4 linked regions of the Macaca fascicularis genome follow. The protein of the gene in region 3 interacts with the protein of the main gene of each other region in a pairwise test. Links are inferred from orthologs where the notes say so. Each region holds a gene or a part of one and is shown on either strand. Other genes may lie near its edges.

Evidence for each region. The genes of interacting proteins can lie anywhere in the genome.
Region 1: the proteins of ITSN2 (region 3) and KHDRBS1 interact in a two-hybrid assay, tested with the Homo sapiens proteins (2 studies listed by BioGRID and IntAct, with this or other methods). The link is inferred for Macaca fascicularis from reciprocal best matches to the Homo sapiens genes ITSN2 and KHDRBS1.
Region 2: the proteins of ITSN2 (region 3) and LARP6 interact in a two-hybrid assay, tested with the Homo sapiens proteins (2 studies listed by BioGRID, with this or other methods). The link is inferred for Macaca fascicularis from reciprocal best matches to the Homo sapiens genes ITSN2 and LARP6.
Region 4: the proteins of ITSN2 (region 3) and WAS interact in a two-hybrid assay, tested with the Homo sapiens proteins (2 studies listed by BioGRID). The link is inferred for Macaca fascicularis from reciprocal best matches to the Homo sapiens genes ITSN2 and WAS.

Annotation. Positions count from the first base shown.
Region 1 is NC_088375.1:202,998,468-203,001,987, forward strand, and holds part of KHDRBS1 (KH domain-containing, RNA-binding, signal transduction-associated protein 1), read right to left. Parts: intron 2,319-3,520; coding exon 2,172-2,318; intron 1-2,171. UniProt on the Homo sapiens protein: Recruited and tyrosine phosphorylated by several receptor systems, for example the T-cell, leptin and insulin receptors. Once phosphorylated, functions as an adapter protein in signal transduction cascades by binding to SH2 and SH3 domain-containing proteins.
Region 2 is NC_088381.1:47,633,737-47,637,256, forward strand, and holds part of LARP6 (la-related protein 6), read right to left. Parts: intron 234-3,520; coding exon 23-233; intron 1-22. UniProt on the Homo sapiens protein: Regulates the coordinated translation of type I collagen alpha-1 and alpha-2 mRNAs, CO1A1 and CO1A2. Stabilizes mRNAs through high-affinity binding of a stem-loop structure in their 5' UTR.
Region 3 is NC_088387.1:97,943,629-97,947,148, reverse strand, and holds part of ITSN2 (intersectin-2), read right to left. Parts: intron 3,154-3,520; coding exon 3,090-3,153; intron 1,951-3,089; coding exon 1,787-1,950; intron 1-1,786.
Region 4 is NC_088395.1:48,845,597-48,848,184, reverse strand, and holds the end of WAS (actin nucleation-promoting factor WAS), read right to left. Parts: coding exon 2,505-2,588; intron 833-2,504; coding exon 777-832; 3' UTR 512-776; downstream 1-511. UniProt on the Homo sapiens protein: Effector protein for Rho-type GTPases that regulates actin filament reorganization via its interaction with the Arp2/3 complex. Important for efficient actin polymerization. Possible regulator of lymphocyte and platelet function.

The sequences.
Region 1 (3,520 bases), on a different chromosome or scaffold from region 3:
CCTACATGCAAGCACTTACCACATCATTTTAGAATTGTCTGTCACTAAACTGTAAGCTCTTCAGGAGCCATTTTTGTAACTTTACACCGAAGCATAGTATCAGACATCTGACAGATATTTAAGAAATGTTTGGATGAAAAACCTGAAGTTCAGAAAAATGAAATGATAACCTGTCCAGGAAGACATACAGAGACAGATATACATGGTCCAGTGCTCTTTCTACTGCACTGTGAGGCATTACTGGTATAATTAATTATTCTAAGGGGAAAATGGAGGGCTCTGGTCACAGATGCAAAAATAATCTCACTTTTTTTTCCTCCACAAGAGGGAAAAATCAAGCCAAATGCCATTTGCAAATCTTTTCACACTTCCTGTTGAGAGCCATTCAGTCTTAATACTTCATGCATTTTTACACATCCCAGATGTATACAGTTTCCATAGATGATGCTAGTCTTTGATGCCCCCCTCAATTGTCTGGCTCCTCCTACCTTACACATTACTGCTGCTTGAGACTCACACCTTGGAGAATCAAGTAACTAATGCCAGACCATTCCTCAGACTCCTCCAACTACCACAGCAACACTGAGGAAACCCCCATCTCCCCGGCAGGCATCTTTTTCAAAAGATTCACTTACATGGAAGCCTCATAAACCTAAGCCTTCTGAGGAATATGAGGGAGACTAACAATAAAGAGAGAAGATGGGTATTCCCTCTGCAGTCCTTTGGAAATTGAATGCTTGGGTGATCAATAGAACACCCCAAAAAGAGTAAAAAGAATTCCCTTGAGTAAGATTAACCAGCTGTGTTTTTCTCTAGGATATGTCAAATGGTCTGTTTCACGTCGAACATTCTAATGAAGATGAGGTACTTGAAAGCAAAGCAGCTGCGAAGACATTTGAGACTGTTGGCATCCTTGGAGTTCAGCATTACGGGTACAAAATGCCTGAAATTTTTATTTTCTTTGGAAAAGGAGTTTTACTCTTGTTGCCCAGGCTGGAGTCCAATGGCACAATCTTGGCTTACCGCAACCTCTGCCTCCTGGGTTCAAGCGATTCTCCTGCTTCAGCCTCCTGAGTAGCTGGGCGCCACCACGCCCAGCTAATTTTTAGTAGAGACGGGGTTTCACCACGTTGGTCAGGCTGGTCTCGAACTCTCGACCTCAGGTGATCTGCCCACCTCGGCCTCCCAAATTGTTGGGATTATAGGCGTTACCCACCGTGTCCGGCCCACACTGCCTATAAATTTTTGCTCTATCAATTTTCACATCCTCTGACACTACATTTAGTTCCAACTCCCTCATTTAACATTCAAGAAAACCAAGGACTGTATCTTACCACCTCTCAGTTTTCTGATGAACACATGACACTTACTCAATTCTAGTTGAATAATATTCCAAATCCTTCATAAGCTTCCAGATTCATCCTTGTTATTAAATATTCAACAGTAGTATGTTAACTCTGACAACCACCTGGCCTTGCTAAAAGGCAAAAACAGTACCATTTCCTATTTATTCAAAGTAACGTTCCAACCAAGTATTTAAAGATAGTAATAAGCAAGATAGATAAACTGGCCTGTCCTATCTCTATCTAGTCCTCAGTTATAGTCTGAAAAAAGCTGCTCACCAATCTGTGAAACATCAACAGTCAACCTCTTCCAAACCAAACTCATCCTCAGCAAACTCCTCCAGGAAAGAAATCCCTGAGTGTGCTCAGAATTTAACTCAGTAACACTAGATGTTATAAGCTTCTTGCTGCTAGCCTCTACTCTCTACAGCATAAACTTCTTGAGTGCAGGGACGCACCTTAGTCACCTTCTTAATACAATCTCCTTGTTCCACACTACTACCAAAATACTCAGCTAGGTGAAGACCCTGTTAAACCGTAGTTAACCAAGTATCAGAATGCAGGCACATTGTGGACCCGAGATACTGACAACAGATACCGGTACACAATGACTACCACATTAGACAAGGAGGGACAGAGTGGCCTTGGAGCATAATGCTTGGAGAACTAGGTACAAGCAATGAACTACCGCAGGAAAATGAACATAAATGCAGAATTTGGTATACATACAGGTTATGCAGAGACCTTAGTTAAGAAACCCTACCTTCACAACAGCATAAGATCCCAGTTCTCTTTTGCTCAGAAGACACAGGATATGGATTTCCTTACCGGTACTAGAAATTTCTTGACTTCCTCCATGGCATGGGCCATAAGAGCATAAGCCTCACATGGGGGTCCAAAGACTTCAATGAAGACATGCAGATCCATATTCAAGTGGGCATATTTGGGGTCTCCACCTTTGCGCAGCTCTTCCTCCTATGGAAAAATGCAGAGAAACGTCACACCACATGGACTAGGGAGAAAACAACACCTTTACCTCTAAGCCAAAGGAACAGCAAGAAATATCCCCAATGTCTAATTAAACTAACAGTAAAGTTTAATTGGTATGAGCTGAGAAGAATTAAAAAAAAAAAAAAAGAAAGAAAAACAGTAAAGTTTAAGAAAGTAAAACAAGCAGCCAGGCATGGTGGCTCATGCCTGTAATCCCAGCACTTTGGGAGGCCGAGGTGGGCGGATCACTAGGTCAGGAGTTCCAGACCAGCCTGACCAACGTGATGAAGCCTCACCTCTACTAAAAATACAAAAATTAGCCGGGCATGGTGGTGCTTGCCTGTAATCCCAGCTACTCAGGAGGCTGAGGCAGGAGAATCGCTTGAACCCGGGAGTTGGAGGTTGCGCCACTGCACTCCAGCCTGGGCAAGAGCAAGGCTCCGTCTCAAGAAAAAAAAAAAAGTGAAACAAGCTCTGAAGAACAGTAATTTGCACAGCCTGCTAAACTTGCACATGGTCTGCTGCTAACAGTTAATTGTCATCTTAAATCCCTGAGATATCCACTGGAGCTCTTACTAAAAGCATAAAGAAGAAAAACTTAATTCTAGTCTCTATTCAGATAATAGCTGTGTGCCAAGCATTTGTTTTTAAATCTCAGGTAGAGCTGTTAATCACCACGAGCTCTGCTTATCTGCTTATATGGTCTAGGGAGTGCTAGGGGAAGAAAGAAGTCAGGACAGAGAGAAGAAAAGCTCATGTAAATCTCATTAGCTAGAACAACACACTTCAGCCCTAACTATATGCATCTAGTAAGAAATGACCTGAGAAAACAAACACGTGTCCATTAGGCTACATAAAAGGAGGATTGAAAGAATAGGTTTTCGGACTGTAGCAGGCATATCTCATCAAATAAAGTGACCCCAGAAGGCTAAGACCATTCTGTTTTGGTGAGAAGTTTCTTGTCACAGAGTACACAGTATATGCGGCTATGGCATGGGAAAAGACTCATTAGATTCTGTAGTCAGGATTACTCATGGCTCCTTTTGGAATACATTCTTTTAGTGAGCCTCACATTCCAGCCGGCTATAAAACAAACCAACTAATCCTCAAACTCTTCTGCTCTCACAACACTATTGTTCTCACTTTTCCAGGTTACAAAAAAGGGGGTGTGCTGTTTGCCTTTTAGT
Region 2 (3,520 bases), on a different chromosome or scaffold from region 3:
GCTTCTGAGAACCAAGCCTCACCTTTTTAAAGGACGTGAGTAGCTTAACGCTCACATATCCCAGCTTGTTCCTCCTCACGTGCTTTAGCAAAAAGGCGTCCTTCTCCAGGTTTTCATCTGAAAAGTAGAATTCGATCTGATCCACCAGTTTCTTGATCAACTCCTCGTCCGGGGGCTTCCACTCCTGCTCCAGGTCCTCACGCTCATTCTCGCCTCCACTTGCAGTGGTGCCACTGAGACCAGAAGGAGACACCAGGTGTTAGAGGTTGAACTGTGTCCCCCAAAAATTCATATGTTGAAGTCCTGACCCGCAGTACCTTGGAATATGATGTTATTTGGAAATGGGGGTCACTGCAGATGCAATTAATTAAGATGAGGTCTTACTGGAGTAGGGTAGACCCCCTAATCCAACACAACTGGGGTCCTTATCAAAAGGGGAAATTTGAACACAGACATGCACACAGAGAGAACATCATGTGAAGGCGAAGGGAGACACTGGGGTGATGCAGCAAAACCCAAGGAATGCCAAAGACTGCCACTAGAAGTGAGGAAAGATGCCTGGAATGGATCCATTTCTAGTACTTTCAGAGGGCACTTGATTTCAGGCTTCAGACCTCCAGAACCATGAAACAATATATTTCTGTTGTTCTAAACCATCCAGCTCATGGTATTTTGTTATGGCAGCCCTAGGTGATGACACTGGGTCACATGGTCACAGAAGGAGAGATTTGCCCCCAAACAGCTAAGAAGTCAATCTTTCATTTTTAACAAGTATGGAAGATCATAAAAATAATAACTGGCCAGGCATCGTGGCTCCCATCTGGAATCCCAGCACTTTGGGAGGCCAAGGCAGGCAGCCTGAGCCCAGGAGTTTGAGACCAGCCTGGGCAACATAGCGGGACCCCTGTCGCTACAAAAAACACACAAAAAAATTAGCCAGGTGTGGTGGTGCAGGCCTATAGTCCCAGCTACTTGGGAGGCTGAGGTGGGAGGAGAGCTTGAGCCTGGGAGGTCTAAGTTGCAGTGAGCCAAGATTGCACCACTGCACCTCAGACTGGTTGATAGAGTGAGACCCTGTCTCAAAATAAGAATAATTATTATTATAACAACACCCTCTGCTGACATGTATGTGGCGCTCTGCCCCCATATGTTTTTCACATATGGCAAAATGTTTTTCACATATACCCTCTTATTCTTCCTCTTCTACTCCACCCCCTCAAATCCTAGTTTCTAGAAGACAGTATAGCAGTCACTTGACCTTTCAGTAAGATCCTCCATATTTATTAAAGAAAAAAAGCTTGATTTCTTAGCTGGTTCAGGACAAGACCTGGAGTGCAGTGGTGCGATCTCCATGTGGATACATGATCACTGCCTCTCAGGAGTCACTGCAGTGGTGCGATCTCCATGTGGATACATGATCACTGCCTCTCAAGCCACCTGCCTTGGCCTCCCAAAGTGCTGGAATTACAGATGGGAGTGTAATTTCCTAGGGCTGCTGGCTCTAGGAGTCCTGGCTTTAGAGTTAAGACTGCCTGGGTCCAAATGCTTGGTTCAGACTGAGTATCCCTTATCCCAAATGCCTGGGACCAGAAGTGTTTCAGATTTCCGATTTTTCCAGAGTTTGGAATATCTGCAGATACGTAATGAGATATCTCAAGGATAGGACCCAAGTCTAAATGCAAATTCATTTATGTTTCATATATACCTTGTACAGATAACCTGAGGTAATCTTATGCAACATTTTTAATAATTTTGTGCATGAAACAAAGTTTCTGAACCAGCGGAAAGCAAAGGTGTCGCTGTCTCAGTTTTTAACCCATGTTAAACCTGTGGTGTCATGGTGGCTCAAAATGTTTCTGATTTTACAGCATTTCAGATTTTGAATTTTTTTATTAAGGATGTTCAACCTGTACCACTGTTTATTAGTTAAGTAAATTTAGGCAAGGAACTCCACTGCATCTCACTTCAGTTTCATCACCTGTAAATTGGGAATCATGATAGTCCCTACCCTCATGGGAGTGTTGTGAAGATTCAATGAATTAATACGTGAAAATATCCAGAAGAGTGCCTAGCATACCCTCAAAGCTCAGTAGGCACAGATAAATTCCTTCACTCATTCATAGGAGGCAGATCTAGAATTTAAACTCAAATCCTCTGTCTCCAAATCCAGTATACATAATAGCTTATATGTTTTGCTAGGACCCTGCAATGGACTCTGGAAACAATCCCGTCACCAGGCTCTTCTTAATAAAGCCCACCACCACCAGCAGCACCACCTGGGTAGACTTCCTTCTCTCCCTCTCCCTAAGAACATTAGGTGACAGGAACAAGCCAAAGCAATCCTGGACAGAGCTTCCTTAGGAAGGCTAATCTTTCATAAGGGGATTATAACAATTTCAAACCAATAAACATTTAGAGAATACTGATTATCCACATCATAACTGATGCCATTATTAGAAGTTAGCAGAAAGTTGCAGGTAGGTAGTTATAGGAGTTGGTTTAGCAACTCAATGTCAGGACCAGTAATCTCAACAGGCCTATTACTGTGATCGCTTAACGCTGGAAAAGACACATACATATATGTCCTTCAACAAAATTTTCATTGGCTCTCAGCCTCACAAAGAAAAAAAAAGAAAAGAAGCAACTGTGGAATACTCAAAATGAGGGAAAAAAATATGGCAAGAGAGAAAAAAGCAAATAAATCTATTTAATAATTTTTCAAATTCAGAAATTATAATTAGTATAAAATATAGGCATTGGTTGATTAAAAATAAAGAGTTTTAGCTATTTGCCTGTAGGCAGCCTGGGAATGGCTTTTAAAATACCTTATTGATGTCTCAAGGTAAATACGGAGTGAAGAGGCCTGGCGCGGTGGCTCACACCTGTAACCCAGCACTTTGGGAGGCTGAGGTGGGTGGATTACTTGAGGTTGAAGTTCAAGACCAGCCTGGCCAACATGGTGAAAGCCCATCTCTACTAAAAATACAAAAAAGTAGCTGGGTGTGGTGGTGCATGCCTGTAATCCCAGCTACTCGGGAGGCTGAGGCAGGAGAATCCCTTGAACTTGGGAGGTGGAGGTAGCAGTAAGTGGAAATCACACCACTGCACTCCAGCCTGGGTGACACAGCGAGACTGTCTCAAAAAAAAAAAAAAAAAAGAAAGAAAGGTATAGTGAAGAAAATAACAGGGAGACTAAATTTTAAAGTTTTTTTTTTTTTAAGTCTTGTTAAAATGGGATGATAAAAATCAGGCATTAAGCTGACTCACCCAACATCCAATAGCAAACACTTTCTCAATTGCTTTCTTCTTCTTCTTCTTCTTTTCTTTTCTTTTTTTTTTTTCTTTTTTTTTTTTGAGAAAGAGTCTTGCTGCATTGCCCAGGCTGGAGTGCAGTGGCGCGATCTCGACTCACTGCAAGCTCCGCCTACTGGGCTCACGCCATTCTCCTGCCTCAGCCTCTCGAGTAGATGGGACTACAGGCGCCCGCCACCACGCCCGGCTTCAATTGCCGTCTTTACTC
Region 3 (3,520 bases):
GAAATTATCCTTCGACCCAGCAATGAGGGAGGTAAACTGCTGCTCTAATACTAATATTCTGATCTGTATGAACTAAGAAAATACCTAGTAAAGAGTTAAATATTCTCCTCTCTCATCATGAATAAAACTAAGCAGCCTTTTCCAATTGAATATGAGTATCCTCAAGGAAAGAATATATTACCAGATCCAACGAGGTTTTTGTGATAGGATAATACAGTGCTACTAAGTTACTTAATACACACACACTCACACACACACACACACACTCACATACACCCACACACTCACACCCACACACCCCCCACACACACACACCCACACACTCACACCCCCCCCCCACACACACACACTCCCTCTTCTCTCTCTCTCTCACACTCCCCCCAAACAAAAAGACTGTAAGTAGTAGATATTTTATGAGATCCACTTATGCACATGCATTATTTGCAAGAAAGTGTGTCACATATTTTCCTTTTCTTGTAAGTAACATTCCTATGAATTCAAGGACAAGTCTTTAAAAAGAACAAAGTGATGACTTTTATTCATTTATTAACTGCAGAATACTAATATATAAATATGGTCACACAACGATTTGGTGTTTATCTCCAGAATTCACTACAATAGTGAAATAATTTTGTGGAGTTTGTTGTTCGTTTGAGATGGGGGTCTCACTATGTTGCCCAGACTAGAATGAAGTGGCTATTCACAGGTATGATCATAGCACGCTACAACCTCAAACTCCTAGACTCAAGCAATCCTACCCACAGCCTCCCAGGCAGCCAGAACTACAGGCACACACCCCTATAACCAGCTCTAGAATTCTATGTTCTTTTTTTTTTTTTTTTTTTTTGAGACAGAGTCTTGCTCTGTCGCCCAGGCTGGAGTGCAGTAGCCGGATTCAGCTCACTGCAAGCTCTGCCTCCCGGGTTTACGCCATTCTCCTGCCTCAGCCTCCCAGTAGCTGGGACTACAGGCGCCTGCCACCTCGCCCGGCTAGTTTTTTGTATTTTTTTAGTAGAGACGGGGTTTCACCGTGTTAGCCAGGATGGTCTTGATCTCCTGACCTCGTGATCCGCCCGTCTTGGCCTCCCAAAGTGCTGGGATTACAGGCTTGAGCCACCGCGCCCGGCCTATGTTCTAAAATATGTAGTGAAGGAACATGTTTCAGATACACAGACATACCTAATTGAATGTTCCATTCAAAATGAGTGTTTCTCACATATAATTATAAGAAATTGCCTGATCAAACTTAACAGAAAACATACCACCTGGTTATCGCTGATGAATATGTAAACCTATGAGCCCAAAGTCTGCAACTTTTGGCCCTAAATTTAGCTGGCTAATTAACCTTTAAAAAAAATTCAACTTACATAAAATTTTAAATTATCTCCCAAATCAAACCATTTCAAGTGAGTTTAAAACTGCTCAAAATTTTTTCTATATTACTAATATATATATATAGAGAGAGGAAACTAAGACTAGTATTTGGGATTGGCTATACCTAGGGAGACCATATAATTTATCACACAACTAGGAGTTGTAAAAGGAGACACTAACTGGACCAGGTGCCAGGACAAAAGGCATAAATCAGAACTGTCCCTAGAAAACCAGAACACATGGATCCCCTACCTGTGACAGTGAATTTAATATTTATTATCTCTAAAATGAAAATTAACTTGGAATTTGGGGATTGTCATTTTGTGCTAACAAATCCTTTTCTAATACTCAAATATGTCTAGGGATAAAGTTTAAGTAGCAAATACAGGTATTTAAATTAATACACACTTACCAAAACGAGCAGAAATTAATGGAGAAAACATAGGGGGTTGCTTCATAATGGGAGGGAGAACCACAGGCAATTGTTGGCCTTGAAGCTTCAGTTTGATGAGTTTCATAGCTATGGAGAACTCTTGCTGATCCATCTTCCCATCCTTGTTTAGGTCTGATAAAGCCCTAAAAGGAGCATGAGGTAGGTAGATTGGTATGTGGGGTGGTGGTGGGAAAACTAATGTTATTTTGGAGGTTAACAAAGTAAAAAAGATGATATGGCATTCACGTGTGCATCATCACTAAATTTAAAATATCTAATATGTAAAATATATAATAACAAAAAGATAAAACCTACACATTAAGAAATACTGACCAGAGATAACAACTAATAAAACACTGACTGTCTATACAGAATCTAGAAACCTTTGGGCTGAATTCCACCAGTTTAGGTATAAAAAAATTCAAGAGTATAATACTTCAAATTTAATTTATTCATTTGTCCAAATATTTATTGAATACTTGCTATGTACCTCATACACTGCCAGGCATGAGAATATTCCAAGTGGAAAGACGGGGTAGGGGTTGTTACTTATTGTAAACGTTTTTAAAAAAACAGATATTATGGAGAATCGTTTCTTCAAAGAAGGAGCAGGGGAAGCGAGGACTAATTTGGGGTTTATGTATTATGATATAAATGAAACTACAAAGTAACAAAGGATTTTGAGATTCTGCCAAATTACAAGGGAATTTTTCTCAATGACAATGTATATATCTTCCCTTAGAAAATTCTAATGAAATTAGAAATTAGAGAACTATTTCTAATTAATGAAATTCGTTTATCTAATTAGTTTATCTAAATTAATCTAATTAATGAAATTAGAAATTAGAGAATTATTTTCAATCATTTTATTTGCTCAATAAAATTTATTCTCCAAAAAACTGAAGGAATTTTTTTTTTTTTTTAAGAGAGTCTCATTCTGTCATCCAGGCTAGGGTGCAGTGACACAATCATAGTTCTCTTAAGCACTGAATTCCTGGGCTCAAGCAATCCTTCCATCTTGGCCTCCCTGAGGAGCTGGGACTAGAGGTGTGGGCCACCACACCCAGCTAATTTTTTTTTTAATTTTCTGTAGAGACAGGGTTCTCACTATGTTGCCCAGGCTGGCCTCAAGCAATCCTCCTACCTCAGACTCCCAAAGGGCTGGCAGAAATATTCTTAATAACCAATAGAATGCAACTAAAAACAATTTTATGTTAACACTATATTACAAAAAAAAATACTATCAGAAAATTAGGTTCATCTATAAAAGAAAACACTTTACCATATTTCAGCTAAAACGGGGGCCGGTAGACCTGACTGTAGGAAAAAATTACGTGCTTGATCACCTGAAAGTAATAAAAACAAAACCCAAGAAGTACATTAGTAAATGAAATTATTCCAATGCTTCTGAATAATAATGGGTATATGTTAATGATTTATAATTTTAATACCAATCATTAAATAATGCAAAAGAAACACAAATAAAAATTATTTAAATAACTTTAATAAGACAGATTTTTAAAACAAAAGTCACATCTGCATTTCTATTGTATATTAATCAGTGATGAAATATTATTCATCTTAGTTTTTCCACAATTGGGATCTTCCTTAAAAATACTTCCACTTAGTAAAATTTATATTTAAAAACACTATTCCCTAAACGAGTTTCAATATAAAAAGTACCAGGTGTTAGGAGACAGTCCTACTGGAGTT
Region 4 (2,588 bases), on a different chromosome or scaffold from region 3:
GGTTGCTCCCTCTGCCTGGAACCCCTTTTCCCCAAATATTAACTGGGCCTACATTTCTCTCTCTTTAGGTCCAGCACCACCATCACCTACTCCAAGTGACCTTCCCTGACTGCTCCATCTGAATGTTGTTTCGTCTGTATCTCTGCCTTACCACTCCACAGCATTTATCATGATCTGCAACTATCTTTTATTTCTATTTGATTTCTTGTTTCTTATCTGTCTCTTCCCCTAGAATGTGGATTTCACCCCCTAAGGGCGGGAATTTTTGTCTGCTTTTTTTTCCACTGCTTGATTCCTAGCCCCTAAAATAGTACCTGGCAATAAATGTTGAAAGACAGAGGGGCAGAAGGAAACAAAGAAATACAGGCTAAATGACTGAGGGAATGAATGAATGAATGAATGAATATATACATACATGTAAGGCTAAATAAATAAAATGGGATAAATGAATAAAAGGGACTTTGGAGGAAAGGGACCCCATTCCCACATTTGGAATGTAAACAGACTGAGATTTATAGAGAGACAGAAAGATAATTCCTTTATTTTTCTTTAAAAATCCTTGAGTGAAGAGAACTGAGAATTTTTGTATAAAAAGGGCCTTGGGATTGCTAGGGTGAGTGTGAGGACCAGGCAGGGATGACAGCATTGGAGGGACTGGTGAGGAAGAAATGGGGATTGGGGGCCTGGAAGAGGAGAGTGGAGGGTGGGCACAGAGCAGGTGGAGGGGGAGCCGTGTCCTGCGGGGAGGAGCACAGGGCAGCAAGTAACTCAGCCACTCAGTCATCCCATTCATCATCTTCATCTTCATCGCCAGCCTGGTCCTCCCCTTCGTCTGGAAGGAAGGAGAAAGATGCCTTGGGAAGTTGGTCGGGGGCTTCATAGGGCCTGGGAGGTGAGGACTGGACCCTGGGAGTCTGAGGTCTCATGCTAGAGGAGGGCGAGTTAGAGTTTCCATTTGGGACAAGAGGAATTATAGTTGGGGTCTGAGTTCTAGTTGGAGTTGAAGTGTATGCTGTCAAAAATGTGGTTAGTGGAGATATTGTCAAACAAAGGGTTAATGTTAACCTATTTATCACATAATAGGGTAAATTTACATATTATTAGCAAAGGTGTGATAATATGTTATTGCTTCCTGTCTGGTTAACGCTAATATTTTTGACACATAATGGGGTTAATGACAATAACATTATCAAAATTAGCCAGGTGTAGTGGCGGGCCTGTAGTCCCAGCTACTCGGGAGGCTGAGGCAGGAGAATCGCTTGAACCCAGGAGGCAGAGGTTGCAGTTAGCCAAGATCACGCCACTGCACTCCAGCCTAGGCGACAGAGCAAGACTCCATCTCAAAAGAAAAAAAAAAAATCGTTGTCAAAAGATGAAGTTCCTATAGTAGGTTGATATTAATATTTGCATCATATAATGGATTGGTGACAGTACTGCTGACAGATTAAGAGAGTAATAGTAAAATTATTATAAAGAGATTAGGTTAACAGCCGGGTGTGGTGGCTCATGCCTGTAATCCCAGCACTCTGGGAGGCTGAGGCGGGCAGATCGCTTGAGGCCAGGAGTTGCAGAGCAGCCTGGGCAACATGAGAGTAGTGAGAGCTTGGTAGTGAGAGCTCATCACTACCAAAAAAGCACCAAAAATTAGCCAGGTATGGTGGCACACACCTGTAGTCCCAGCAACTTTGGGAGCTGAGGTGGGAGGATCGCTTGAACCTGGGAGGTTGAGGCTGCAGTGAGCCATGATTGCACCACTGTACTCCAGCCTGGGACACAGAGCAAGACCCTGTCTCAAAAATGTTTTTAAAAAGATTAGATTGTATTATCTCATAATGAGTTAATGTAAATCTGTTGACACATGGAATTAAAATTAATATTATTGTCAACAATGGTGTTCTTCATAATATTGTCATCACATAATGGGTTGATTTTTTTTTTCTTTTTTTTTTGAGAAAAAAAAAAAGGCTGGAGTGCAGTGGCATAATCATGGATCACTGCTGCCTTGACCTTCCAGGCTCAAACAATCCTCTCACCTCAGCCTCCCAAGTAGCTGGGACCACAGGCACACACCACTATGCTCAACTACTTTTTTTTGAATTTAGTTTTTATGGAAACGAGGTCTCACTATATTGCCCAGGCTGGTCTTGAACTCCTGGGCTCAAGCAATCCTCCTGCCTTGGCCTCCCAAAGTTCCTGGATTACAGGCATGAGCCACCGTGCCCTGCCAGCTGATGTTAATAGTACTGAACGTGTGGGAATGACATTAATATTGTGGACACACCCTGGCATTAATGTTAATATTATTGTCAAAGTTGGAGTTAATTATGTTATTGTCACATAATGACTTAATGTTAACTTTGTCAAAAAGGAGGCTGACACAAGATTCATGTTAATGCTGTCAACAGATGGGGCTGATGTCACTATTGGTGGTGACTGCTGGGATTGTTCTGAGGCCAGTGCTAGCCCTGGGAGCCAGGTTTGAGGCCCTGGCAGGATCAGCTCACCGGAGGAGTGGATGGCTCTGCTCCTCTTCTGCATCACGTGCATCAGGGCCCCCACCAGTCCCTCTGAGCTCTGAGGTGGGGGCT